Linked DNA regions of Kluyveromyces lactis. The protein of the gene in region 1 interacts with the protein of each later gene in a biochemical or structural test. Links are inferred from orthologs where the notes say so. Each region holds a gene or a part of one and is shown on either strand. Other genes may lie near its edges. The genes, in order: UFD4 and MGT1.

Evidence for each region.
Region 2: the proteins of UFD4 (region 1) and MGT1 form a complex in vitro, tested with the Saccharomyces cerevisiae proteins (2 studies listed by BioGRID, with this or other methods). The link is inferred for Kluyveromyces lactis from reciprocal best matches to the Saccharomyces cerevisiae genes UFD4 and MGT1.

What each region holds. Positions count from the first base shown.
Region 1 is NC_006038.1:1,184,158-1,196,471, forward strand, and holds UFD4 (putative ubiquitin-protein ligase UFD4), read left to right. Parts: upstream 1-2,269; coding exon 2,270-6,673; downstream 6,674-12,314. Other genes in the region: SHU1 (Shu1p), read left to right, coding at 43-558; mRNA turnover protein MRT4, read right to left, coding at 652-1,368; mitogen-activated protein kinase kinase kinase kinase STE20, read left to right, coding at 7,435-10,404; MIF2 (Mif2p), read right to left, coding at 10,489-12,240. UniProt on the Saccharomyces cerevisiae protein: E3 ubiquitin-protein ligase which accepts ubiquitin from an E2 ubiquitin-conjugating enzyme in the form of a thioester and then directly transfers the ubiquitin to targeted substrates.
Region 2 is NC_006041.1:161,367-174,326, forward strand, and holds MGT1 (methylated-DNA--protein-cysteine methyltransferase), read left to right. Parts: upstream 1-8,398; coding exon 8,399-8,968; downstream 8,969-12,960. Other genes in the region: QRI1 (UDP-N-acetylglucosamine diphosphorylase), read left to right, coding at 1-1,267; INP2 (Inp2p), read right to left, coding at 1,382-3,382; MSS11 (Mss11p), read right to left, coding at 3,857-5,476; PET494 (Pet494p), read right to left, coding at 6,278-7,630; KLLA0_E01783g (uncharacterized protein), read left to right, coding at 9,953-11,671; KLLA0_E01805g (uncharacterized protein), read right to left, coding at 11,759-12,727. UniProt on the Saccharomyces cerevisiae protein: Involved in the cellular defense against the biological effects of O6-methylguanine (O6-MeG) and O4-methylthymine (O4-MeT) in DNA. Repairs the methylated nucleobase in DNA by stoichiometrically transferring the methyl group to a cysteine residue in the enzyme.

The DNA.
Region 1 (12,314 bases):
AGGATAGCATTGGTTAAGATTATTTTTCATCCTTATAAACCGATGGAAGATGTACTGCGTGATGTATTGGACCGTAACAAGAAAGTTCTAGTTATAGCAGTTGGCGTTAAGGCTCGAAGTTTCTTCGAGCAAGATCTACGGGAAAACAAGACGCATTTCTTTAACAGTATTGATGATATAGTCAGGGGACGATCCAACGTGCGGATTCTGTTCCTTGATAAATTACAGTATTTATATATGTACTTGACATATGTCGAGATTGAGCTCCAGAATAAAGGAAACACATCGATGTGCTATGAAGAAATTATCATCTACGGTTTAGAGTCCCTGTTAATGACGAAAGAACAATTGGAATCAGAAGAGACACAGAAAACTCTTGATCTGTCAATCTCCCAGCTGCGACATTGTAACCTCATCCTTCATGGATCGCTTCGACTGGAAAATCAGTACGCTGTGCGTATCAGAATGGTGTCAGCGACAGATCTGGGAATGATGTCTCAAGGTTGGAAGAATCTGACCGAATATTGGCAGTACGTGTATTCGATAAAGGATTCCTAGAGAAGAGATTAATGTACAAAGGAGAAATATATAGGTTATGATTATATATATATATTTATAGTTTATCACTGCAATGCTTTCTTATTTTTGGATTTATTTCGAATCCATGTTGATATTGATCTGTTCCACACTAGAAGTTTCGTTATCGTAGTATGCGGCAACCTTCACCCTGAATTCAGCAGCTGCTATACCAAATTGTTTCAAGATCAATGCTTGAGTAACATCTAGAGTTTTGCCCTTTTCACAGACCAAGTATGGAGATTCGATGGTAATCTTACCATTCTTAATTTTGGTTGGAATCTTGAACTTGTTTCTTAGAGTTGGTTCCAGAGAATGTATCATAGGCACATCTTCTTCTTCTGGGATTTGACCACCACGAGAGTATACAATACCGGCTGGAATGGTAAAAGACAATGGAGCCTTTGATTTTGGTCTGGAGAAATCAGCTCTCACATATGCCTTGAAGTAATCTTCCACTACATCGACAGGTTCGTTGGTAAATAATAGACCAGTAACACCAGAACAGTGCTTACATAGTTTGGCCAAGTTCTCCTTGTACTCTTCCTCTGGCTTTTCACCTAACGCTTTCACCAACACCTTCCTCTTACCCATGATTAACTTGGATCCAACCCAAGAACTTCTAATCTCTTGCAAAACTGGAGTTCTCACATCTTCCAAATGTAAAACCCAAGCGTATCTGAAAGAATCCAAGGCTTCTCTAACTTCATCGAATATCCTTTCCTTGTTCTCTCTACCCTTCTTATCGGTTTGGGCCAATGTAACCAACTTTGAACGCTTAGATCTTGGCATCGTATCTGGGTTGGTATATGTAGTAGCTTGATGATAAAGAGTAACGAAAAGTAAACAATTATCAGAACACTATTCAATTACAGAAGAGAGATAAATAAAGAGGAATACAACTGATAGAATATAGCGATTAGTACTGTTGATCAGTTTAAACTATGAAAGGTCCATCGAGTAGATGCGATGAGATGAGCTTTCTCAAACTGAAAAATTTGCGCCTTTCTTTTTCTTTCTAGTTGTGAGTCACGTGATTTGATTTTTCCAAACGGAAAGTAACGACCTCTGACACAAAGTGAATCGGTAAGACATATACCGGCTCTTTTGCAATGCTCTAGGGCCATTCTCATAAGCTCGGTTAGAGAGGTTTATTCTAAGGAACTGCAAAACCAAACTCCGGTATGAATTCCCTTGACTGATTTCTGAGTCTCTCACTCATTGCCAATGAGACAATAGATCTCAATTCAACACAAATATCAAGACTAGAAAGGCACAGATAGGGCATGATCGTGTATCGGGCAAGTAGATATAGTGGTAATGATTTAACCTATTACCGGAGATGTATTGTAAATGGGGAAGTAAACTTAGTCACGTGACTCATTACTTGTGGCGACGGGTATTGTGTATATTTTCCTCAGATAAAACCGCAGTGTACCGGACCAAAATGTACCTTAAAAGTTCAGAGTCAGGAAATTGCAATCTCAGTACATATTTAGCAGGAAACAAACTAGTTGGTTTGATATGAACAGCCGGCGAGTTAAACATACCTCTTGTATTGCTTGCCAAAGTCTAACAACCTCTAAGATACCAATTATTAAGGTGGTAAGAGATACCGGGTTGTGAACTAGAAATTTTAGATAGTAATTTTGCCTCTTATTTGTGATTTGAAACAGGAAAGGGTTTTGAAAAGATGAGTTATTACGATGGCGATGGCGACTATATCATATATGAAGATGCGAACGGTAGCCATGAAAGTGATGATGTTGAATCTGGCGAATATTCTTATCCAGAGGATGAAGATGATTTAGAGTTTGTCCATCACGATGATGATGATGATGAAGACGAAGACGGGGAAGAAGATGGATCGCAAGGAGAGCAGTTGGACGAAGATCAAGATGAAGATCAAGACGATGAGGAAGTAGAAGGTGAGATAGGGAATGTTTATCATGAAAGCCGTTCTGGGGACCGTGCGGACAGGATTTCGTTTCTACAAGATATTGTTTCTCGTCTAGCGGATCAAAGATCTGGTGAAAGTGGGGATGGTGATGTTGCTGAAGGCGAGGAAGCTGATTCGGAGCGTGCATTTGGACGTTCATTGCCAGATCTGTTGCAAGAACTAGGAAGGTCTGAAGGGTTTTTCGGTGTTAGCAGAGGAAATTCTCGGTATTTGAAATTGATTGAGAATGTGCTTCAAGCTGAAGACGATCCGTATATTGCTATGGAATCTCTCCGGGAATTATCTGAACAGCTATTGATGTTAAACCCTTTGATCGCTGATCGAATCATCCCATCTGGCAAGTTAATGGACGCTTTGATCCATGTATTGTCTAGCCCATTATTACAAGCAGAGTTGGAGTTACAATTAATTGCTTGTAGGTGTCTCTATAACTACTATGAGATGAACCCAGAAATGATAGAGGTTTCGGTTAATAGAGATATTATTGAGATATTGAGAGGGAAATTGAATGAGATAAGCTATATCGATTTGGCAGAACAAGTTTTGGAGTGTTTAGAGTTCATTTCAAGGGTACATGGATCTAAGATTTTAAGAAGCGGTACCCTTCTCTCTTGTTTGCAATATTTGGATTTCTTTACCGTCCATGCGCAGAAAAAATCATTATCTATCGTTGCGAACTCATGTGCTAGGGCTAAGGAAAGTGACTTCGAGGTGGTATCAGAGATTTTCCCCATCTTGAAATCTATCTTCCTAAATAGTACAAATCCAGTAATTTTGAAGCCAGTTCTCATAACACTTTACAGCATTTCAGGATCTTTGAACAAGAAATCATTATCTAAACTCTTTGACTTCGAGTTGGTTAAAAGGTTATTGTCGTTGTTATCTTCTTCAGAGATTGAACGTGAATCTGTTTTGAAAGTCTTGGATATTTCATCACTCTTGGTCTCCACCAATGTTGAATTGTCAAAACAAATCCTATTGGATTGTGAGTTGAACAAAGTTATTCAAAACGTTTTCCAGTCTTATAAGAAATCAGCATCTTCCACCTTCAGTGAAACTTTGATTTATGTTCCTAAAGAGCTTTTGTTGTCGGTAACAACTTTCCTCTTACTTTTGCTCCCAACTGAAGATTCTCAAATCTTGACAGCCGATGAGGTCAAAGTTTTCACATTTGACGGAAATGAGGATAAATTCCTTGAACTAGTCAATGAGTTGATTCCTTGTTTGGTGGAAATATATTCCAATACAGTGGATACTAAGATTAGATATACAGTTCTTGTTGCATTGGCTAGGGTGTTCACGTCTATACCTCATGGCTACGATATTCCTAGTTCGTCCGTTATTAACATAATATCCTCTGGTCTCATCAATGGTTCAAATGCGCAACAAGATCATATGAAGACTGAGACCAGTGCAGTACTAGTAGCACTGCTTTCGTTAATTTCTATCATGATGTCTAATAATCCGGATTTGTATCTACCGAAACTAAGAAAAGAAGGTATACCAGATGCTTTAACCTCTTTGAATTCTCACTACAGTTATGAGCTCAGCAAGAAAGATAGTATTGATAAACAGGAATCGTCATCAGATGAAGCCGAGAAGTCAGGATATCATATACGTCCGGAAAACTCTGATTCTCATCCTGTTTTTGGATCTGATTCTGACATTGAAGATGAAGATGATGATGAAGAAAAAGACAGTTACAGGATGGAGTACGACGACATGAACATACCTGAATTTGTCAAACCGAGAAAAATCCGCATTAATATCTACGATCATTTGACTCCTTATTACCTAATAAAACATGTTTCCATGTTTAGTGCTACACTACTAGAGTTGTTTTCATCTAACCAAGAAGAAGTCTCCAGCGAGCTTTCTGAAATTAATGCTGTTGTCACTAAGATGAAGGAACTGGATGTTCAATCTGATTCCGAACAATATTGGATGGATTTCTGGACTGCTGTAAAATCCTCATTATTTGATGATATGTCCAACATATCTGGCTTCGAGCTCATTTCCACTGGTCTCATTGATTCTATGGCTAATATCTTTGAAACTGATTCAACGAAACAATCATTCTCCAAGAGGACTTTTCTGAAAGTGTTCGAGGAAAAATTGCCTGAATTTGTGAAGCTACTACAAAATGCATTGTCTAGGACGGAAACCTTTGCCATCCTAGATGCTGGTGCCAGTAGCAACGATTCTCCAAGTGCCTCGTTAATCAAACAGATGAAAATAAGATTAGTTCATGAGCCGGCCGATGATGAAGTGGGAAAAGATACTGTTCCAGAAACTCTTCAAGATGTTGTAATTGCCGTGCATTGCGTTGCATCTTTGAAAACACTTGATGAATTCTTGAAACACAAGATTGTGCAATCGGAATTTTTGACTTCTATCATTCCGAGCATGAGTCGTGCTAATCAACAAGCCAACCCTACAAATGTTGCCAAAGAACTTGAAAACATACAATTTGACTTTTCGTTGAATGACCATCTTTTAGATCAATCGTCAACTATTTACTCTATTATATTCAAAGAGGCGATGAAAGAAGGGTTACCCACAACGAGTATCTGGACTAACGTACCTACTTTTAAGTTCAAGAAATCAGTAAAAAGAAGGGAGTCACATCAATTGCATGTGCTTTACCCCGATACAGCTTTTGAAGGGGCGGATTTGAAGCCTGTCAATGGTATTTTGACAGTTCTACAATGTTGCCAACATAAATCACTCCCAGCATCTATTTATGTGAATCCAAAGATTAGTGCTAAGCTTTCCCGTCAACTTGAAGAGCCACTTATTGTGGCATGTGGGGTCTTACCAAGTTGGGTCCTCGATATCACGAGAAAATATGGATTTTTGTTTCCATTTGAAACTAGAATGAACTTCTTACAGAATACATCATATGGATATGGCAGATTGATCCAATACTGGAGGGAAAAGCTGGCAGATCAGCACCATAGTAACCCTACTGAAAATCCATTGCATCAATTAGGCAGGTTGACTAGACACAAGTTGAGGGTTTCAAGAGACTCACTATTTTTGTCCGGCATCAAAATTCTAAAAAAGTATGGTTCTTCGCCAAACGTATTGGAGATCGAATACAAAGATGAAGAAGGTACAGGGTTAGGACCCACTCTCGAATTTTACTCTTTGATGTCGAAAGAATTTGCAAGGAAGTCTCTAAAAATGTGGAAGACCAATAGTGATACCAGTGATGATGAGGAGGAGTATGTGACAGGTGCATTGTTCCCTGGACCATTATTGGGCACCACCGAGGAGAATAACGAAAAGACTTTGAAATTATTCGAAAACTTGGGGACCTTAGTCGCTAGGTCAATGTTAGATAATAGGATTCTCGATTTTAGATTTAACGCTGTTTTCTTCGAGTTGATGCACAAATGCTGCAAGAATGATCGACTTGACCTAGAAGACTTCGAAACTTGTATCCACCTCGTAGGACAGTTTGATGTTCAACTAGGAAAATCACTCGCATTTTTGTATGATAATCGTCATGATGACTCTATCAAAAACCTTGACCTATATTTCATGCTGCCTGGTTATGATATAGAATTGTTGGAAGGTGGTTCGAAAATCTTAGTTGAATCTTTCAACGTGGAAGAGTACTTGATTCGTGTCTTTGACCAATTTTTGGGCAAAGGCGTAGATATGCAGCTCGCTGCCTTCAGGAACGGATTTTCGAAATCATTCCCTTATTCATCATTGCTAATCTTAACTCCGACAGAACTATCCGATTTGTTTGGTGCAGTTGCTGAAGATTGGTCTGTGCAAACGCTATACTCATCCATTCATGCAGACCATGGCTACTCGATGGATTCTCCAATCATAACAGACCTCATAGATATTTTGTCGAATTTTTCGACACAACAGAAACGTTTGTTCTTACAATTCATCACTGGCTCTCCGAAACTACCTCTTGGCGGTTTCAAAAACTTAAAACCCAAATTCACAGTAGTCCTGAAGCACCCAGATGGGAACATCTCGGCAGACCATTGCCTACCTAGCGTTATGACATGCGCCAATTACTTGAAACTACCAAAATACTCTGATAAACTGGTACTCAAAGATCGTATTGCACAAGCAATGACTGAAGGTTCCGGAGCCTTCCTATTGTCATAGAATATGTATATAACTACATAGAGATGTCTGTAGATCTAACCATACTCCACCCTAACTAAAGATTTCAATACCACATACTTTCGTGACATGTGACAGGATTTACTCTTTGGGATTGGCGAAAATGTTGAAACTGAAATTTAAAGCTTAAGAGTTTAAACAAACGGAATGTAAAGATCAGATGGTATGCATGTTTATAAGCAGATTAGAGAAACGAGCAAGCTCAATTGTTGCTTTAACTGTGGCTTGTGTTAGAACTAGGTTTTAAATTTTATTAATCAGGCTATCTCTGCCGATTTGACAAGTATTTCAGAGAGTAATACCAGGTAATACCATCTTCTTTTGGATCTTTTTAATAACAAGCACACATTATTTGTTTGTTTTGGCGAGAGTGTGATTTTAGCAATCAAAAGACGTTCGTTACACTGAATTACACAACAGGCTCTCGTTTTTAAGTTAGAAGGAGGTGAAGGTAGAAAGAATTTTACAGAGCACGTTTTGTCATTTCTTTCATTGTTTATCTGACTTGATCTTCTATTCTTTGAACAAAGTAATCTAGCTTTTTTTCTGACAGAAATTAACACGGCCACAGCAGGCTTTGTTACTGACGGTTGTATGCTCTAGAAATCATTACAGACCTGTTTGTGTTTTTCGGAATACCTTTCCTTTTTGTTCGGTCGATAGAATTAACCACAAGACATCTTTTGACACAGGCCTTTTTTTTTTGATAGAAGCTACTACACTCACTACTTTGTCTCCATATAATGACGGATACTGGATATACTGAAGAATTGTTACCAGGCACATTTGATGCGCTTTCCGTGAGAGAAAATGGTGGCAATACAGAAAGTGACACCAGTAGCATACGCAAAAGTCAAAATCAAGATTCAAAACAAGAGGATGTACATCGTGAAAATCTTTCAGTACAAACTCTAGAGGATCATACAGAAGTAACGGAGACTAGGGAACAATCTGTCTCAAAAGATCTCTTTGATTTACCTCGTGCACCAGCGAGTTTGGATGTGAAAGGATTACAAGAATCAGACGAAGATCATTACGTCAAAGACCTTTCAGATTATAAATCTATGGATCCAGGGAAACCGGGCACCGTACCAACAAATGTTTCGGAAATTTTTAATAGTAACCAGCCAACTTTGGATGAACCGATACAATTTACAAGAGTCTCTTCCAGTTCTGTGTTAAGTGAAAGTATATCGGAAGGTGATGCAGATTTAATATCGCATCTAGAAGGAAAAGTGGAAGAAGGAAATAATTTGACTTCGAAGGAGACGCCAGGGACAATTGAATCTATTGTTGGAGATAAGACGATGTCAACTATAGAAGGTTCCTCCCAAAATATAGGTAGAATATCTACTGGCGGGAGGATGACACCTGATCTCTCTCTTATGGGCGGGGCCCTGGAAACTTCTTCTGACTTCCTAAATTCCACACAAACCTCAAATTCTCCAAAGATTACAACACCTATAACTGAAGTTGATGCCAATGATGTATATGAGTCCCCGCTAAATGAGATATTATCATCTACAGATAGTTTCAACAAGGCATCGACAGCGTCTGCAGATCATTCGAAACACGTAAGTGTGCATGAAGTAATACCTGAAGAAGAACCACATCCAGAAACAACAAATGAGGATCCTCCAATTAAAACTCCCGTAATGGTGAATAACTTTTTCGAAAATCAAACACCAGTATCAGAATCAAGATCCCCCTTCAGAACCATTTCTTCTCCGTTTTCTTCTCTGAGGAAAAACGTTAAGAGTCAGCATGGGACGCCTGACCACTCCCAGAGGAATTCTAATTCCTCCACCTCCTCTAATGATGTTAAGAGGAAGACCGGTACTAAGAAGAAAGGTGTTTTCTCAACATTCGTTCAAAACATCAAGAGGAACTCACACTCAGAGAAAAGAATTTCTAGCGGAAGCGGTAATGGAAGTGGAAATAATGCATTTAAGATCTCTACTCCTTATAATGCTAAGCATGTTTATCATGTAGGTGTTGACTCCAAAACAGGGGAATATACAGGGTTACCAAATGAATGGGAGAAACTTTTAACTTCCAGTGGCATTAGTATGAAAGAACAACAGCAACATCCCCAGGCTGTGATGGATATTGTAAAATTCTACCAAGATGTTACTGAAAACTCTGGAGAAGAGAAAGTCTTCAAGACTTTCAAAGTAGGAGGTGGCTCTGGTGCAAACATTGCATCTACACCTTCTTTCAGAACCCCATCAACTGCATCAGTACAGAAGTTCGAAACTCCGCAAATGCAAACAGATGCAACTTTTCCGAATGAAAACAATGATACCCCATACTCTAGTAACTTACAGGGTCCGCTGCTCACTAACGATTTCAGTGAAACTGTGAACAACGAAAAGTTCATACCGACTCGGCCTGCTCCAAAACCTCAAGGTTCCTCCACAGTTAGCCGTAGGGTCGAAATCCCTTCACCAATCAATTCGCTTGGCCATGGAACACCAAAAGTGCAAAGAAGTGATACTCAGTCATCAAGCATTTTCTCATTCAAGAAGATGCCAACATTGAAAAGTGAGCAACCATTACCTCCTATTCCAAAGGCTGCAGAAAAACCAGCAAATTTATTGCCTGCAAGAGCGGCTCCTACTCCACCAAAACCTGCAATTCCTACAACACCGGAACAATCCTCAATACCTGCAATTCCTTCCGGGCTTGCTGTGGAAGTGAAAGAGGAATCGAATACTTCTAATGTCCAGACAAGAAAGGCCCAGGAAAAAAAGAGGGAAGAGAGGAAAAGAAAGAATCAACAAATTCAATCAAAATTAACCGAGATTTGCACAACAGGAGACCCAAGCAAACTGTACAAGAATCTGATCAAAATCGGACAAGGTGCATCAGGAGGAGTTTACACAGCGTATGAATTGGGCACAAATGCTTCAGTAGCAATAAAACAGATGAATTTGGAGAAACAACCCAAGAAAGAGTTAATTGTGAATGAAATTCTGGTCATGAAAGGAAGCAAACACAACAACATTGTTAATTTCATTGATTCATACCTATTTAGAGGTGATTTATGGGTTGTCATGGAATACATGGAAGGTGGTTCGTTGACTGATGTCGTTACGCACTGTATATTGACTGAAGGGCAAATCGGTGCCGTCTCTAGAGAAACACTCAAGGGTTTACAGTTTTTGCATTCAAAGGGAGTCATTCATAGAGATATTAAATCAGACAATATTTTGCTATCCATGAACGGAGACATCAAACTAACAGATTTCGGTTTTTGTGCTCAGATTAACGAGGTAAATTTGAAGAGAACGACGATGGTTGGTACTCCGTACTGGATGGCCCCAGAAGTCGTATCAAGAAAAGAATATGGACCAAAGGTTGATATTTGGTCTCTTGGTATTATGATCATTGAAATGATAGAAGGTGAACCACCATATCTGAATGAGACACCACTAAGAGCTCTATATTTGATCGCTACCAATGGTACGCCAAAGCTAAAGGATCCTGGAAATTTAAGTCATAAAATGGCTATGTTCTTAAATTGGTGTTTAATGGTTGATCCAGAGGACAGAGGAACCGCAGCAGATCTTCTTGAAGATCCATTTATCACTGAAATTGCGGAAGAGAACACCTCCCTTGCACCGTTGGTTAAACTGGCAAGGATGAAGAAACTAGCAGAAAGTATGGAAGATGATGAAAACGATGAAGACAAATACGATGAACAATCATAATCATTTCTGTTTTACGGCATTACATGAATTTAAAACTTTATTTTTTCTATATAGAATAGTTGTGTTATTAATATTTCATTCACATTAGGTAGATGTGAGACTCATATCGCTCGAAGATTTATTAGAAGACATCTCCGAATCTTCAAAAATGTCATCTGCACCATTAAAATCTTCAGGGACGGTTGTTTGAACGAAGAAAAGTTGCGCTTCTGTCATTCCTTTATTGAGAAAACCGTAAGTGTTGAACGCCGGTACTTGAAAAGAAGAACCCGTTGTACACACAAACTTGTTATCACCCACAGATATTTCAACAACACCTTTAACAACGAAAAAATTGATAAAAGCGTTATGTGAATCACTAGGGGTCTTTTCTCCATCGAGCGGAAGCTTAAGCATACCGCTGGCAAACCTTTCTTTGTGTTTATCGAATAAAATCGATAAAGTAAATTTATCCTGGTTTGTGCTTGTAACCTGTTCAGTTTGTGCTAACCCAGGAGCAAAAGCCAATATATTCTGTTCTTTCTTCTCATCAGCTGTAACATTGACCTTTGATTGAAGAATACCTTGTTTCAGCCATTCAGCATTTGGATAAGTTCCTTGCTGAATATCTTGAATAATTGGAGCGTTTGGATCGGTAATGTTCTGATCATCCACAGGCTTAATTTTCCGTGGTCGACCTCTAGGTTTACCGGACGGAATGTAGTTATACGGTCTTGTCTTGGTTTTCATTACCTGCTTTTTAGCACGTTTACTTTTCAGTAGTTGCTCCTCTTCTTCATCCTGATCATGATCATACGTGATAATTTTTTCAATCTCAAGGACAGGCTTCTCTGATTTTCTCTTGTACACGATCTTTTCATTTCTCCAGTACTCAAGCGGTGCAACTTTGACTCTATTCGATCTACGAATTCCGCCTTCCGTACTTGGACTTTCGTCTTTCAATAAATCTTTAGCTTGTGTCTGAATGTAATCTTCGTCGGAATCATACACGTCAGATGCAGATTCAATATCTCTTTTCTGTTTTCGTACGTCGCTCAATACAGCATCATCTTCTTCTGAATCGTAATCTGAGCTATCTTCTGAGCTATCCGAGCTAGCATCACGAAATCCTGATATTCCTTCCACGTAATCTCTATCTTCTTCCTCTTCACTCCCAGGCTGGAAATCATCGTCGAGTTCGTCTTCTAACAACGCGTTTTCTGATGTATTAAAAGATTCATCTCTGGTAGTGTCTGCATCGTTTATAAGATCGGGAACGTCTCTATAATCATCCAGTTCTCGCCTTACCGGAGTGAGCTGGACAGAAATATCCTCATCTTCTTCATTCTCGTCGGCTTCCGGTAACTGTCTCATAAATCGCCTTTCTCTCCTCGTAGGCTTTGGTGGAGTCCTGTAAGAATCGGGAAGTGGATCATTATCATCCATAATATCCCCTCCATCGGCATGAATATCTGGGAAATCATCAGTTTCATACCCTTGAGGCAGGCCCGAATCTCTCTTGTCGTATACGTCTGCGTTATCAGGAGTTCTGTCCTGTTGAACCTGTGACGTTCCTGGCTCAGGGATATTAGAGACAATCTTGAATCTATCGTCATCGAACGAACTTACATTTTCAGCGGCGCCTGGCTGTGATAAACTTGCAGCAGCATTCGATCGTATCTTTGTGTTCAGTAATATAGACGATCTCCGACTTCTACGTCTCATATCAATGAAACTATCTTGCTCATCTTTAAAGAAATCATTTAGATTCTCCATAGAATACTCGTCTTTTTGAACCGTTTTGTTGACTGTAAGTCCCGTTTTACGGGACTTGACACCTAAGTTCATGTAATCCATAGCTAAAGTCACTCTTTAGATTCTCTGAGAGCCTGGTCAACCCCTTACTGCGCTTGGTTGTTTATTTGTTTCAC
Region 2 (12,960 bases), on another chromosome or scaffold:
GGCAATTGCATTGGCAGACGAAAATTCAAGCTCTGAAAATGTCATCAGACCGTTACCAGCATCATCGTACGAATCGGTGATTGGAGATGACGATTTGAGGAATACGTACCAACAATTGGGATTAAATGCTATCAAGAATGGCGAGGTTGCTGTTATTTTAATGGCTGGTGGTCAAGGTACGAGATTGGGATCTTCCGCACCAAAGGGATGCTACAATATCGGCTTACCTTCTGGAAAATCATTATTCCAGATCCAAGCTGAAAGATTAAAAAGACTACAAACTCTTGCTGGCTGTACGAAACCGATACAATGGTACATCATGACATCAGGACCCACAAGAGCCGCTACTGAATCTTTCTTCAAGGAGCATAACTTTTTTGGCCTCTCAGAATCTCAGATCCACTTCTTTAACCAAGGCACGTTACCAGCTCTTGATATTTCTGGAGAAAAGTTATTCTTGAGCGACAAAGATGAACTTGTGGAATCACCTGATGGTAATGGTGGCCTATACCGTGCTATCAAAACTAATAATTTATTAAATGACTTCAATTCCCGCGGCATCAAGCACATACACATGTATTGCGTCGACAATGTCCTTGTTAAAATTGCAGATCCAGTTTTCATCGGCTATGCTATCAAGAATGACTTCCAACTTGCTACGAAAGCTGTGAGAAAACGTGATGCTCATGAATCTGTTGGTATAATAGCCACCAAAAATGATAAGCCATGTGTCATAGAATACTCAGAAATTTCAAAACCTCTAGCAGAAGCTGTTGATGAGGACACAGGGCTACTAACTTTACGTGCTGCCAATATTGTCAACCATTACTATTCAGTAGATCTATTGAACACGAAATTGGACAATTGGGTAGAATCTATGCCATATCATATAGCCAAAAAGAAAATTTCGTACTACGATAATGTCAATGACAAATATGTGAAACCATCAGAACCTAACGGTATAAAGTTAGAACAGTTTATTTTTGACGTTTTCCCCTCCATTCCTATGTCTAGGTTTGGTTGTTTGGAAGTCGAAAGAGCAGAAGAATTCTCTCCACTAAAAAACGCTCCTGGAACTGCAAATGATAATCCTGAAACTGCTAGGGATGCTTACCTTCATTTAACTACATCTTGGTTGAAAGATGTAGGAGCACTAGTCAATGATGAAATTCTTGTCGAAGTTTCAAGTCTATTGTCTTACGGCGGGGAAAACCTTGACTCTTATAAAGGCACTGTGTTCGATAAGCAAGGCGAAATTTTGAACTAACCAGGCAGTGTTTATAATATATTCGAAACGATAATGCTGGTGGTTTAAGTTTATTATATATACTAAAATAATACATACTTTTATCATTCAAGTGATATCAATATTGGATGTAGGTCAATCACTTCTTCTGTTTAAAAATTGTTTTAGTTCGAAAAGTACTGGTATACTCTCTTCGGAATTGAAAAGACCTTTGCAATCTATCTGGGGCCTGCCCTTCTTCTGATTTTCTATTTTCCGATTCATCAGCTCAAAACTTTTCTGTTTTCTCAAGTTTTCTCTACTTTTCTTATTTTCAATTGACAGATTCAGTATTCGTTGGTTTAATTCGTGCCTTAACTGGTCGTCTGTAAAACGAGAAAACTTAGAGTCGTTGCTAGAAGCTGTTTCTTGATCATTTTCAGTACCGTACACCAATTCCTCATGTTCTTTTTCAATGTCTGACCCAGTTTCATCTACTTCTAACACGTCTACTAGCGAAGTGAGTTTCGGAAATGAATCAACTACCACGGGGATATCACTGGTCGTCTTTACGATATCAAGATTGAGTCCACCGCTGAAAACTCTCTGACTGGAAGGCCGAGGAGAACATTTCGGTGGTTTCAACTGTTCATGCGAGTTATGTTTATAGTCGATATTCCATATTTGTATTATTCCATTCAACTCATCTATCAGGTGAGAAGAGAGTTCGGTAGATGTTTTGTCCTGTTTCATCAAGTATCGCTGCAATTCAGACAAGCGATAGATACTTTGGGTTATTACAGCTTCCTTTGATTCGGGATCCTCTTTTTCAATAGTACTTCCGTACACGGATAAAAGTAAATGTTTGTAATGATGCAAAACGGGCAACAATGATGAGATACCTTGTGTTAATGTGTATAATTGTTTCGAGATTATTTGAAATCGCTCTATGTCGGAAGTCTTTTCCACATGGTATCCAGGAAAAATTCTCTTCAAGACTAATGCAATCTCACACTTTTTCAGTGGATCAGTGTAGTTTATTGAAAGTAAGCAGCACAGAAAGAACTTTCTCATATATTGCAATCTCTCCAACTTTTGTGTAATGTCCAGACTTTCCACTGTTCGGATCATTTGATATAGGCTTTGCAAATCCACATTGTAAATACTGATATAATCAGTTAACTGAACTGCATTCACAACCGGCAAAATGTTACTAGATGCAATGTTCAATTTGTGAAATAACTGGTCTACTGTACATGTAAGGACATCTGTTAGTAATGTCAGTGTTCTGGCTTCATCTGAACGTAGACCACGATTTTCAGTCAATGCGATTGGTTTGTAAATAGTCAGCTCTTTATAAGTCAGGTGATAACGATAGATTAATTTGTCTACAGATTGCAATGCAGCATTCATCTGTCGTAGATTTAAAAGGGCAGTGTATTTGGAATATTTTGCATGGAAGTACTCTTGCTGTAAAGCTAGATAAACAGCAATCATCAATAAGGACATCAGAGAGGATCTAGGTAGATGTCTCTTATAAAGCATTTTACGGAAAGCTTTTCTTGCCGTCAATATGGTGAACATGTATGGAATTGTTCTCTGTAAATAGAATTTTTTTCCAGAAATTAACAATTGTCCATATTTTGTAGGTATAGTCTTTCCTTCAGCGTTGTGAATCGATAGGGTGTTTTCCTTATTGAAGTTCAGGATTGATTTCTGAACAGTAAATAACTGGTGATGAGAAGCGATCGAGCTTGTTAACAGTTGCGAGGAAATGATTTCATAGTGAAATTCATCAACAAAGGCATCCAGGTCACCATAAGGTAGCTGCTTCATGATCAAATCTACTTGTTTACTCCATCGGCTATCTTCTTCATGTGAGTTCAGAAAATCAGTTCTGTAATCGTTATCAATCAGAATCTCCTGTGATTCAAAGCGATCTTGGCCTACAACAGTCGGCGAAGTGTCCTTCAAAGCCTCAATACCCCACTCACTAAGCTTGCGCAACTGCTGGTAACTGATCGGAACTTGTGGGCGTGAACTGCTCCAAGTCTGTGACGAAGACATCGTTGATGGAGTCGATGCTGCAGATGCCATTTTGGGAATTTCAATCCTAGGGATTTGCAGATGCAAAGGCACCGCTTGGAAAATGTCCATTGTTTTCACTCAAAATGAGAGGATATTCAACCTGTTGGATTGATGGATGAGCCGCTTGACAAGCCTCGAAGTTTTGTGCTACATTGTCCAATGTATTGAGAGTGAGATGTCATTTATATGTAGATCAAGTTACGCTTTTTTTTTATTTTTTTTGTTTGTTTACGTTTACAAAGAAAGTAGTATCCGACAAAATTGATCGTGGAACAAATTGGCAGGAAGACATTATCAAGAGTCGAGATTAAGGCAACAGAACGAAAGAGAGTGTCAATGAAGTCATCAATGAAAACGAATCAGATAGTTTAATGTTACATATTAATTACGGGAAAGGTATATACTCTAGGTACTAAAGAAAGGGAAAAAATTTAGGTCGTCGCCATGCGGTAAATTACATTGGTCAAAAACCAGATGTCATTTGATTTCGATTTTGACTAGTATTACGGATATGAGAGGGAGCTAACATGTAAAACATACATATTACTGCTTCCGCCCTCCCATGAATTCATTACCCAAGCCTGACATATCAAACTGACCAAAATTCAATTTGTTATTTGAACCACCAGAGAATGTATTGAAATCTTGATTGTTAGTAACATCTATTTTTGAGAGAGGTTCTGATTTTTTATTATTGTCTAAAGGCTGAGAAGATGCTTGTGGACCCATAGTGGCTGGCATAGCATATGAATCAAAACTTTGAGGCTGTTGTGTTTGGAGTGACATGGCAAAATGATCTTTGTTCATTGGTTGGTCTTGCTGTTGTGATTTTACCATGTTCTCATAAGCTCTCTGTTGTTGTAGATATTGCTGGGACGGACTTGAATTATCTGATGGATCCCCTTGTCCTGGAAGTATGTTTTGGTTACCCAACTGATGATGCTGTTGATTTTGTTGATTTTGTTGGTGTTGCATTAAAGTCATCATTTTTTGATATTGCATTCGAATTTGCTGTTGCTGTTGCTGGTGCTGTTGCTGTTGCTGGTGCTGTTGCTGTTGCTGGTGCTGTTGCTGTTGCTGATGCTGTTGCTGTTGCTGTTGCTGTTGCTGTTGCTGTTGCTGTTGCTGTTGCTGTTGCTGTTGCTGTTGCTGTTGCTTCTGCTGTAGTTTGGTCCAGTTAGCTTGAACTTGTTGTGATCCGGACGGGCTTGGTTTCTTCACCTTTGACGAGGAATTAACACCTTTGAACTGCTTTGATTCCCCATTAGCTCGTGGTTTAGTATTGGCGCCAGAATCTTTATTAGTTGCTGAACTCTTCTTGGTTTGTTTATTTTTGCTTCCGACCGAAGTATTCTGAGGTTTTGGAGTAGATTTAGAACTTCCCAAGGTCGCTGCATGATAGGGATTCACACCAAGTCCAGCGTTTGTACCAGCATTCGGAGTGGTTCCTAGAACGGGTTGAAATGAGCCCTGTGGCTGTGGTACTCTCACTCCTGCTGGGAAGGAATTCGCGTTGGTTGCATAAGGAGTGTTTCCACTACCGGGTGAAGTCATTGTTCTGAAATGCTGCTGCTGCTGCTGCTGCTGCTGCAGTTGTTGTTGTTGTTGTTGTTGTTGTTGCTGTTGTTGTTGAGGGACAATGTTGCCGGCGAAGCCCATTGCTGGAGCAATAGGGCCAGTTCGCACGACACGAGACAACATTTCCTGAGGTGGAACTTGTGGCAATATTGGAACAATTCTATCATTAAATGGTTTCAAACTGGTTAAATTTTCAATTGGTGTTGTTTCAACGTACTGGTTCAACGCCCAAAGTGATTGCCACCATTCGAACAAAAAAGTATCCGGAGAATTCATTAACATTTTTGAGTTTAATAATTTATCACCGTTTAGCGAGTGTTGTGGCACGGCTTTTGACAGTGGTACATTTGCCTCTTGTAAAAACTTTTTTGCAGTATCGTGGTGTTGGTTATGCACTAGGTAGTTATAAATATGAGCATATAATAATTGCTTGGAGTTTTTCGCCATAGCATCGGAAACAAACGGTTCTACAACATCACCGCTATTGTATTGTTTATTTTTTTGATCCTGAATAGAATCGCCCTTCATCTTTTTGTCCTGTGGAGTGTTTGAAGCATTACTCTTCCTAGCACCTGGTCCAGCCATGTCCTTACAGACTTTCGATTGACAAAGTGAACGAAGCTGGTAACTTTCACTGAAATAGATTATAAAAACCCTTTTGTCCTCGATGAAAATTTAATACAACAATTAACAGTGAAAAGAACTTATCTTTCCCCGGAACTTTCAATAAATAAGCCCTGCGTAAACTGTGAATATGTTATACTTTACTAATCGGAACAGGTAGATCATGCACAGTGATAGAGAGAGGAAGAGAGGCGTATTGTTACCAATGTTATCGGTTTTGCTCGCTAGCCTAAAAACTGTTATTTCAACCAGATAAAACCCAACCACAGCTATTGACAACTTCAAAAAATCTGTAAGTTTATTCAAGTTTATATCAATGAATTAAATTAAGCGACCTTTAGCAAAAACTCAATTTACCAATACTCTCTATTTGACAACATACAATAAGGGACGATATCTAGACCAGGCAAACCATGTTAATCGATTAATTCATTTGTATTGGGCGGAGAATAATTGATTTTCAGTTACTTAAAGCGGAAATGAAAAAAAAAGATTGATCACGTGACACAAACCTTTATGTCCTTTGATAGGTACAGCTTGAACCCAAGAAAAAACTGCTGTATTGAAGGATTCTAAACAAAACAATGTACCACAAAAGTAGATGAAAGCTTAAGTCCATAATAGTTTATATACAGGAATAAGTATAGATGCAAAATGTGATACGGACTAGTATTTAATTATCATTTATTCATAAAACCAACGTCCGTTCGTCTACTTTTGAAATAAAAACAACACAGAATGAAAGACCCCTCTGTTTGTCTATTAGTTCGATTTTACTCCTCCGAGAGTTGAAAGAAGTTTCAATGCAACAGGGTTCTTGGCCATCACTGAATACGTATTTTTCCGGACATCTGCTGTCATCATTTGTTCTAACAATGGTATCTTATCCTCTGTAGGAATAATGACTCGAAGTTTTTTCTTTCCAGCCAGAACGCTATTTTTTCGAAGTAGTGAAACAACTTTTACTATGTGGTCGTTCTTACGTTGGACGTTAGACGCTATCAGTCCTTTCAAGACTCCTAAAACTGTATCTAAAGATACTGACGTCATTCCTTTGAAATAATTGTTGAACATGCTTTGGAAACGCCGACTACTGGGTTGATAGAGTACCGAAATATATTTCTCGAAAAGATCGTTGTTCCATTGGGAACTTTCAAAGACCATCTGCTCGTATATCCTTTCGTTACTGAAGTTATTCTGTTTCAAAAGGTTACGGCTGTTGTCATAATACCATAGCTGTAATAACCGTCTTTGTGAAATGTCATTGATCGACTGGTAAAATTCATAGAAGTCAGATTGGAATGCCATCTTGCTATCGCTTAACCTCTTGAAGACGTCTTGCAATTCTTCCGGGAAACTTTCAGGCTTCGGCACACTAAAATGTTGTGCCTTACTCAAATTCTTCAATAATGCTCCAAACTCGTGACGCCAACTCTTATAAAACGCCGCATTCTGTATATCATGGAGATCGTGTTCGTTCTGCGGTACGTTGTCTAAAAGCTTTTGCAACATCTTGTCATTAACCTCAACTCCCGTTTCCAACGATTTCTTATAGATATGGAACGAGTAAAATAAATAAAATATACCCATCTTTACCATGTATGAGTTGGCTGATTGTAGACCTTTCCCCTCGGGATTAGAATCCAAAAATGGATCTGAAATAGTCTCAATGTCGGCGGCAGCATTATTACTTTCTCCTATCACTTCTGACCTTCGTTGTTCCATAGCTTGCTTCTTTAGTTGACTGCTCTCTCTCCAGGAGACCTCAGAGCGGGGTCTCTTCGGTACCGCAAAATTTTGCTTATCATCGTAAACTGCATCAAGGCTATTCTCCACCCCAAATCCGTTTTCCAACGAATCTATTATAGTTGCTTGTCTTGACATCGTTGATACGGTAGAATATATCACCATCCCTGTTAACGTAACTACATTAGTCGTAACAAAAAACGCATTACCTGGTGCATTGAAATATTTCCAAAGCGTCTCTGAATACCTCTGTTGACCCTTTTGTAGACGTGGGGTACTTTGAAACATCTTGTTCTTCCATTGTAGCGTTATCCTCCGACTAGTATGAAACCTTCGTGCCATTGAACGAAAACAGCAACGAAGATGCATTTTAAATTGGAAAAACACCACTCTAAGCTTGACCCATCAACTTCGAAACAGAAACAATGAGGGAAAACTAATCTGTGTCGTATGTATTCTCCCTGATCAACCCTTTTCAAATTATTAATTCTCTTGTGTGTCTTGTTACCGGCTTCTTTCATGAATTCGCAGGGTCAGCTCATTTCCATATATCGTTTGATTTTAACTTAGTATTCAATTTTTAATTTCGCTGAAATTCTTTCTCCTTGGTGGTAAATAGTATGGAGATATATGGATGGAATCTGCGATGCGCTACAAATTTGACACATGATTTGACGAAATGAAAAGATTGTTGGGTTGAATGGCTGCACCCGTGAATAAAACGTAATCTAATAATCTCATCTTATTGTAGTAGGTGCTTCACCGGGAGTCACATCGATATGAATATGCTACAGTAGTTCGGATCTCTATAACTTATTTAAAAACGAGAGAGTATCACGTGATGTATATCATTTCTCACATCATATCTACATCTTGAAACTACAGCAAGACTGGCAGGCGTGCTAATGCTTACAATAGGAAACAGTGTGGTTCGCAGATAGGGGCGAAGGAATGTGTGGTGTATGCAACCTTAAGGAGGAAGAACTCCTTTTTCTCGAACGGTCAACCTCCGATGCTGTACATCCAGGTATATATAACTCCAATATCCCAAAAAAAAAAAGAATGGCTGCAACACGTCAGTAAAAGGGCAGGACAAGAGTAAAGAAAGCAAGCTTGGTGCACTTCACAAAGCACATTATGTCCCATTTATTAGTGTACGATTTCATGGAGCACGATCTAGCAAATGTGCTGATCGTGGTCAAACCTTCGACCAAAAGTCTTGTATTCGTTTCGCTGTCAGGAACGAAACCAAAACTATTAGGCGATGCTAAGAAATTTGTATCCAAAGTGAACTCCTTGTCAAAGAATAAAGGATCTATTTATACCTTAAAGAATAAATCCATCTTAAAATCAGACGATGTGGCATGGTTAGAACAGTTGAGCTTTGATTTTTTACAGATACTGGCTGGTGGTATTGACTCTCAAACGAACATCAAATGTGAGTATCTCCTTGGAACAGAATTTCAAAAAAAGGTTTGGGAGACTACAAAGACTATCAAGGCCGGTGCTACGATTTCTTATCAGCAATTAGCCGTTCTGCTAGGGAATCCAAAAGCTGTGAGAGCCATTGGTTCTGCTCTAGCGAAAAACAACATTGCTGTCGTGATTCCGTGCCATAGAATCATCGGTTCTAAGGGTAAACTGACAGGATTCAGATGGGGAATTGAACTAAAAGAATCACTACTAAGGCAGGAACAAGCAATTTAGTGGACTGATAGCTTTTGAATTTTTTTTTTCTTATTTGCAACCAACCGTGTTTGAAACGGCACACAAATCCCAAATGTGTTCAAGGATTACTTGACCCAGTCGTTACGGTTCTCTTCTGTGTGTGTTTCAATAAAATGTCTTTTTGTCTCTATTTCTTTTGTCTTTATTTGTCTTTCGAGAGGGTTGCGTCTGCAAGAAAAAATATGGAAATCCTGGAGAGTTGAATCATTATCGATCTGCGAGGAGTATGATAGTGGGGTGCAGCAGATATAATTAACATACTACTTATCGGATGGAGAGGGGGATCTTTTCAATAAAGACATTCAATTGTGCTGCACGGCTGATCTCACAACTTGGGACATTATACTGTGTGAGTTTTTTTTGTTCTTTTTGTTCTTTTAATTCTTCAACTTGCTTCGACGACATGAAGGGTTTGACTTTTACTTCTGCTGGTTTTTGTTTGCAGTACATTCTCTACAAACACGATTCTGTCTCGAAATAAACCATCCACTCGTAAATGTAAACCTTAAACTCTATCCCATGTTCTTGCCATAGAAAGCTAGTTTCTTACCGTTTCTTCTCTTACGGTATCTTTTGTTTCTGGTCAAGTATTAATTATTGCTGAGTAACTTTTTTTGGCAGAGTCACTGTACTATGTTGGGTATTTCTGTGAACTGAGTTTTCAATACCCTTTTTGTATGGCCTAGGCTTATTCTATTAATATTGGCGACATGATCTTCAAACGCGGTGGAAATTTGGTATCTGCTTTCAGTTATGCATGTTCAATCCAATACAATATACACTTATTCTGCTAAATTGCTTACTTGTAGTTGGTATGGTTTTTTTATATATATTGAGGCCTCAAAGCTTTTCTCAGCGATACACTGCCGTCATCACTTAAATCATATCATGTTTTCATTTTATCTTTCTTAGAATCTCAAAAAGTATGGATTGCTGTTCTCAAGCAAAGTACTAATTGCCAACATGTCCGAAGAGAAAAAGGTTGTTAATGTTCCTTCAAACTCTGAAAAAGAAAGCGCACTTGTCGAAGTTGAATCAAGATCAACTATTGATGAAATCGAAAATGTGTTTAATGGCAACAAACCAACAGAAGAAGTTCTGAAAGAAGTTGATGAATTGGTCTTGAAGTATGATCTTCAAGAATACCAAGAACTATTAAGTCGTGGTGCTTTATTGGCTAATGATCCTGATGTTTTGCTAACTGATAACTACTCCGAAAAGGAAAGAAAAAAGATCGGCAGGGAGTTAACACATCCATTTCTGTCTTTGTCAAGAGGTATGATTTGGGCTGCGTTATGTACCTCTTTGGCCGCCGTCAATTTCGGTATGGATGAAAGTGCTGTCGGTGGTGCTGTCTTGGGTTATCAAAAGGCGTTCAACATTACAAACCCTAACATCCAAGGTCTTACTTTAGCTGCGCCTTATTTGGCTGCTGGTGTCTTGACCTTACCACTGACTGTCTTATTGAACAAAAAATTTGGTAGAAGATTTATTGTTTTGATAAGTTGTTTTATCGGTGTGTCTGGTTCTCTGATCCAAGGCTTTTCGAACGGATTAGGTCTTATATTGTTCGCAAGATTATATTTAGGTATTGGTATGGGTTTATGTTCATCTACTGTCCCAATCTATACTGCAGAATGTGCACCAGCAGTTTCTAGAGGCGCAATTTTAATGTTGTGGCAGACTTTTATCGCTCTTGGTGTTTGTTTGGGTTCAGTTTTCAATAGAGCTTTTGTCGAAATCGAGGGGAACCTATCTTGGAGATTAATGATTGGTTCTTCTTGTGTAGCACCCTTTATCACGGCTCTCGTGGTTTACATTCCACCTGAATCACCAAGATGGCTTATTGGAAACGGATTTGTCAGAGAATCCCTAGAGTCCCTAATCAGATTGAGAAACACAGAAGTCTCTGGTTCACGGGACTTTTATATCCTATATGAGTCTTTGAAATACGAACATAAACTTGCAGCTAAACTTTCTTGGCACCAAGAGATTAAATCCCTATTCAGTAACATCAGAAACAGATTTGCTTTGTGGGTATCGTTCCTTGGTATTCTTGGTCAGCAATACGGTGGCGTTAACATCTTGGTTTCATATACTGCAACAATTTTAACGAATGCTGGTATTGACCCGGTAACTGCCATTGCTGGCTCAATCGGTATTGGAGGTGGTTGTTTCTTAGCTACTTTCCTTTCCTCGCAGTTGATCGACAGATTTGGTAGAAGAACAATGTTGCTTTTGACACTTCCTGTAGAAGGCGCTTGTTTGTTTTGGTTGGGTGGTATTTTGAATATCAAAGAAGATCAAGCTCGGTTGGCTGCTGGTTTGGCTGCTATGTATGTATTTGTGCTGTTCTACGGTATTGGTATTGGGCCAATTAGTTTTACATTGGTAGCAGAAACCCCATCCATTACCGTTAGAATGGCTCATAGTGCTTTTGCTATGTCGATCAATTGGTTGCTTGATTTCTGTTTGACGATGACATGGCCAAAAATGGCCGATTCTATGGGAACTTCAGGAGGGTTATATTTCTACGGTGCGTTTAACTTTCTGATTTGGGTTCTTGCTTATTTCACAATCCCAGAAACAAAAAGGTTCACACTAGAACAGTTAGATGAGGTGTTCAAACATGGTGTTACCCATTATGCCAAGCAAAATACCAGAAAACTATTTGGTAAATAATCGTTGTGACCTTAAATTTTGAAATATATATTTATCTTTAATATTCAAGTGTCATCTAACAAAACTATCGTCTTTTGGCTATACTATTCAATGGAAACTTTTTAGATCATCATAAGTGTTGCATGATCCACCGCAAAGGATAACTACTACGATATCATCTGGTCCCAATGGTCCTAACAGTTCAGGACGATAACAAGTATGTAACGAAGCACCGCATGCTGGTTCGACCAAAATCGAGGTCTCATCAAAGAACCTCAAACAAGTATCAACAACATTCTTATCATCTAAGACAATTGACTTCGACGAAAATTTAATAGCCTTTTGAAAAGAGTCTGCGCATATTTCGGTTGATCCCAAAGAAGTAGCTATGCTACTGATTCTATCCAATACTACGGGTTCACCAGCTATCAAAGACTTGCTCAATACATCACACCCATCGGTTTCCATGGCAAAAACAGGAATTGAGCCCGCCAATCCATGTCTTTCTAATCCATTAACGACCCCATTGTACAGACCGCCTCCTCCAACGCTGCACACAATCCCTTTTACATCATTGATGTCAGTATGGGATTCCGCCAGCTGTTCAATGATTTCATCAATCATTGTCGAATGACCATCCCAGATAATGGGGTTATCGAAAGGGTGCACATAAAGAGTATTTGAATACGAAGACTGTCTCATGACATATTCTCTTAAATACGTGTCAGCTTCTTTCCAATGATCACCAAAGATCACGACCTTAGCACCTGCTGACTCTATTTTCTTAATCATCCTTGGCTTTGTCGATTTAGGGACAATAACAGTGCATGGTACTTTCAAGGTAGCACATGCACGAGCAGCTGCAAGCCCAGCATTCCCACCAGAACTTGAATAAACAGCTAATTCGTTTTCAGGATCAGATATGGAATCCATTGTCGTCTTGATGAGATGACTAATTCCTCTTGATTTGAAGCTTCCGCCTGGCTGTAAATTCTCATATTTCAACAGAAAAGTGGGTCCGCCGTTTAACGGTTCTCTAAATGGCAGTAATGGGGTTTTTATTGTCAATTGATCCATTTGATGGTTGTTGGCTTTTTTTTTTACTTTCACTGATGATAGTCATTAGCATCTCTTATCAACCGGTTTATCAAAGCACGTCAGTCACCTTTATATTCTCATTTGCAGACATCTGCCGGTTGCATTTCGAAGAAATATGAAAATTTAAGAAATGAAAAAATCAAAAAATTGACTGTACCCCATCAGAAATTCAAATAGAGTGATACGAAGAGTACAGTATATATGATTGCGCA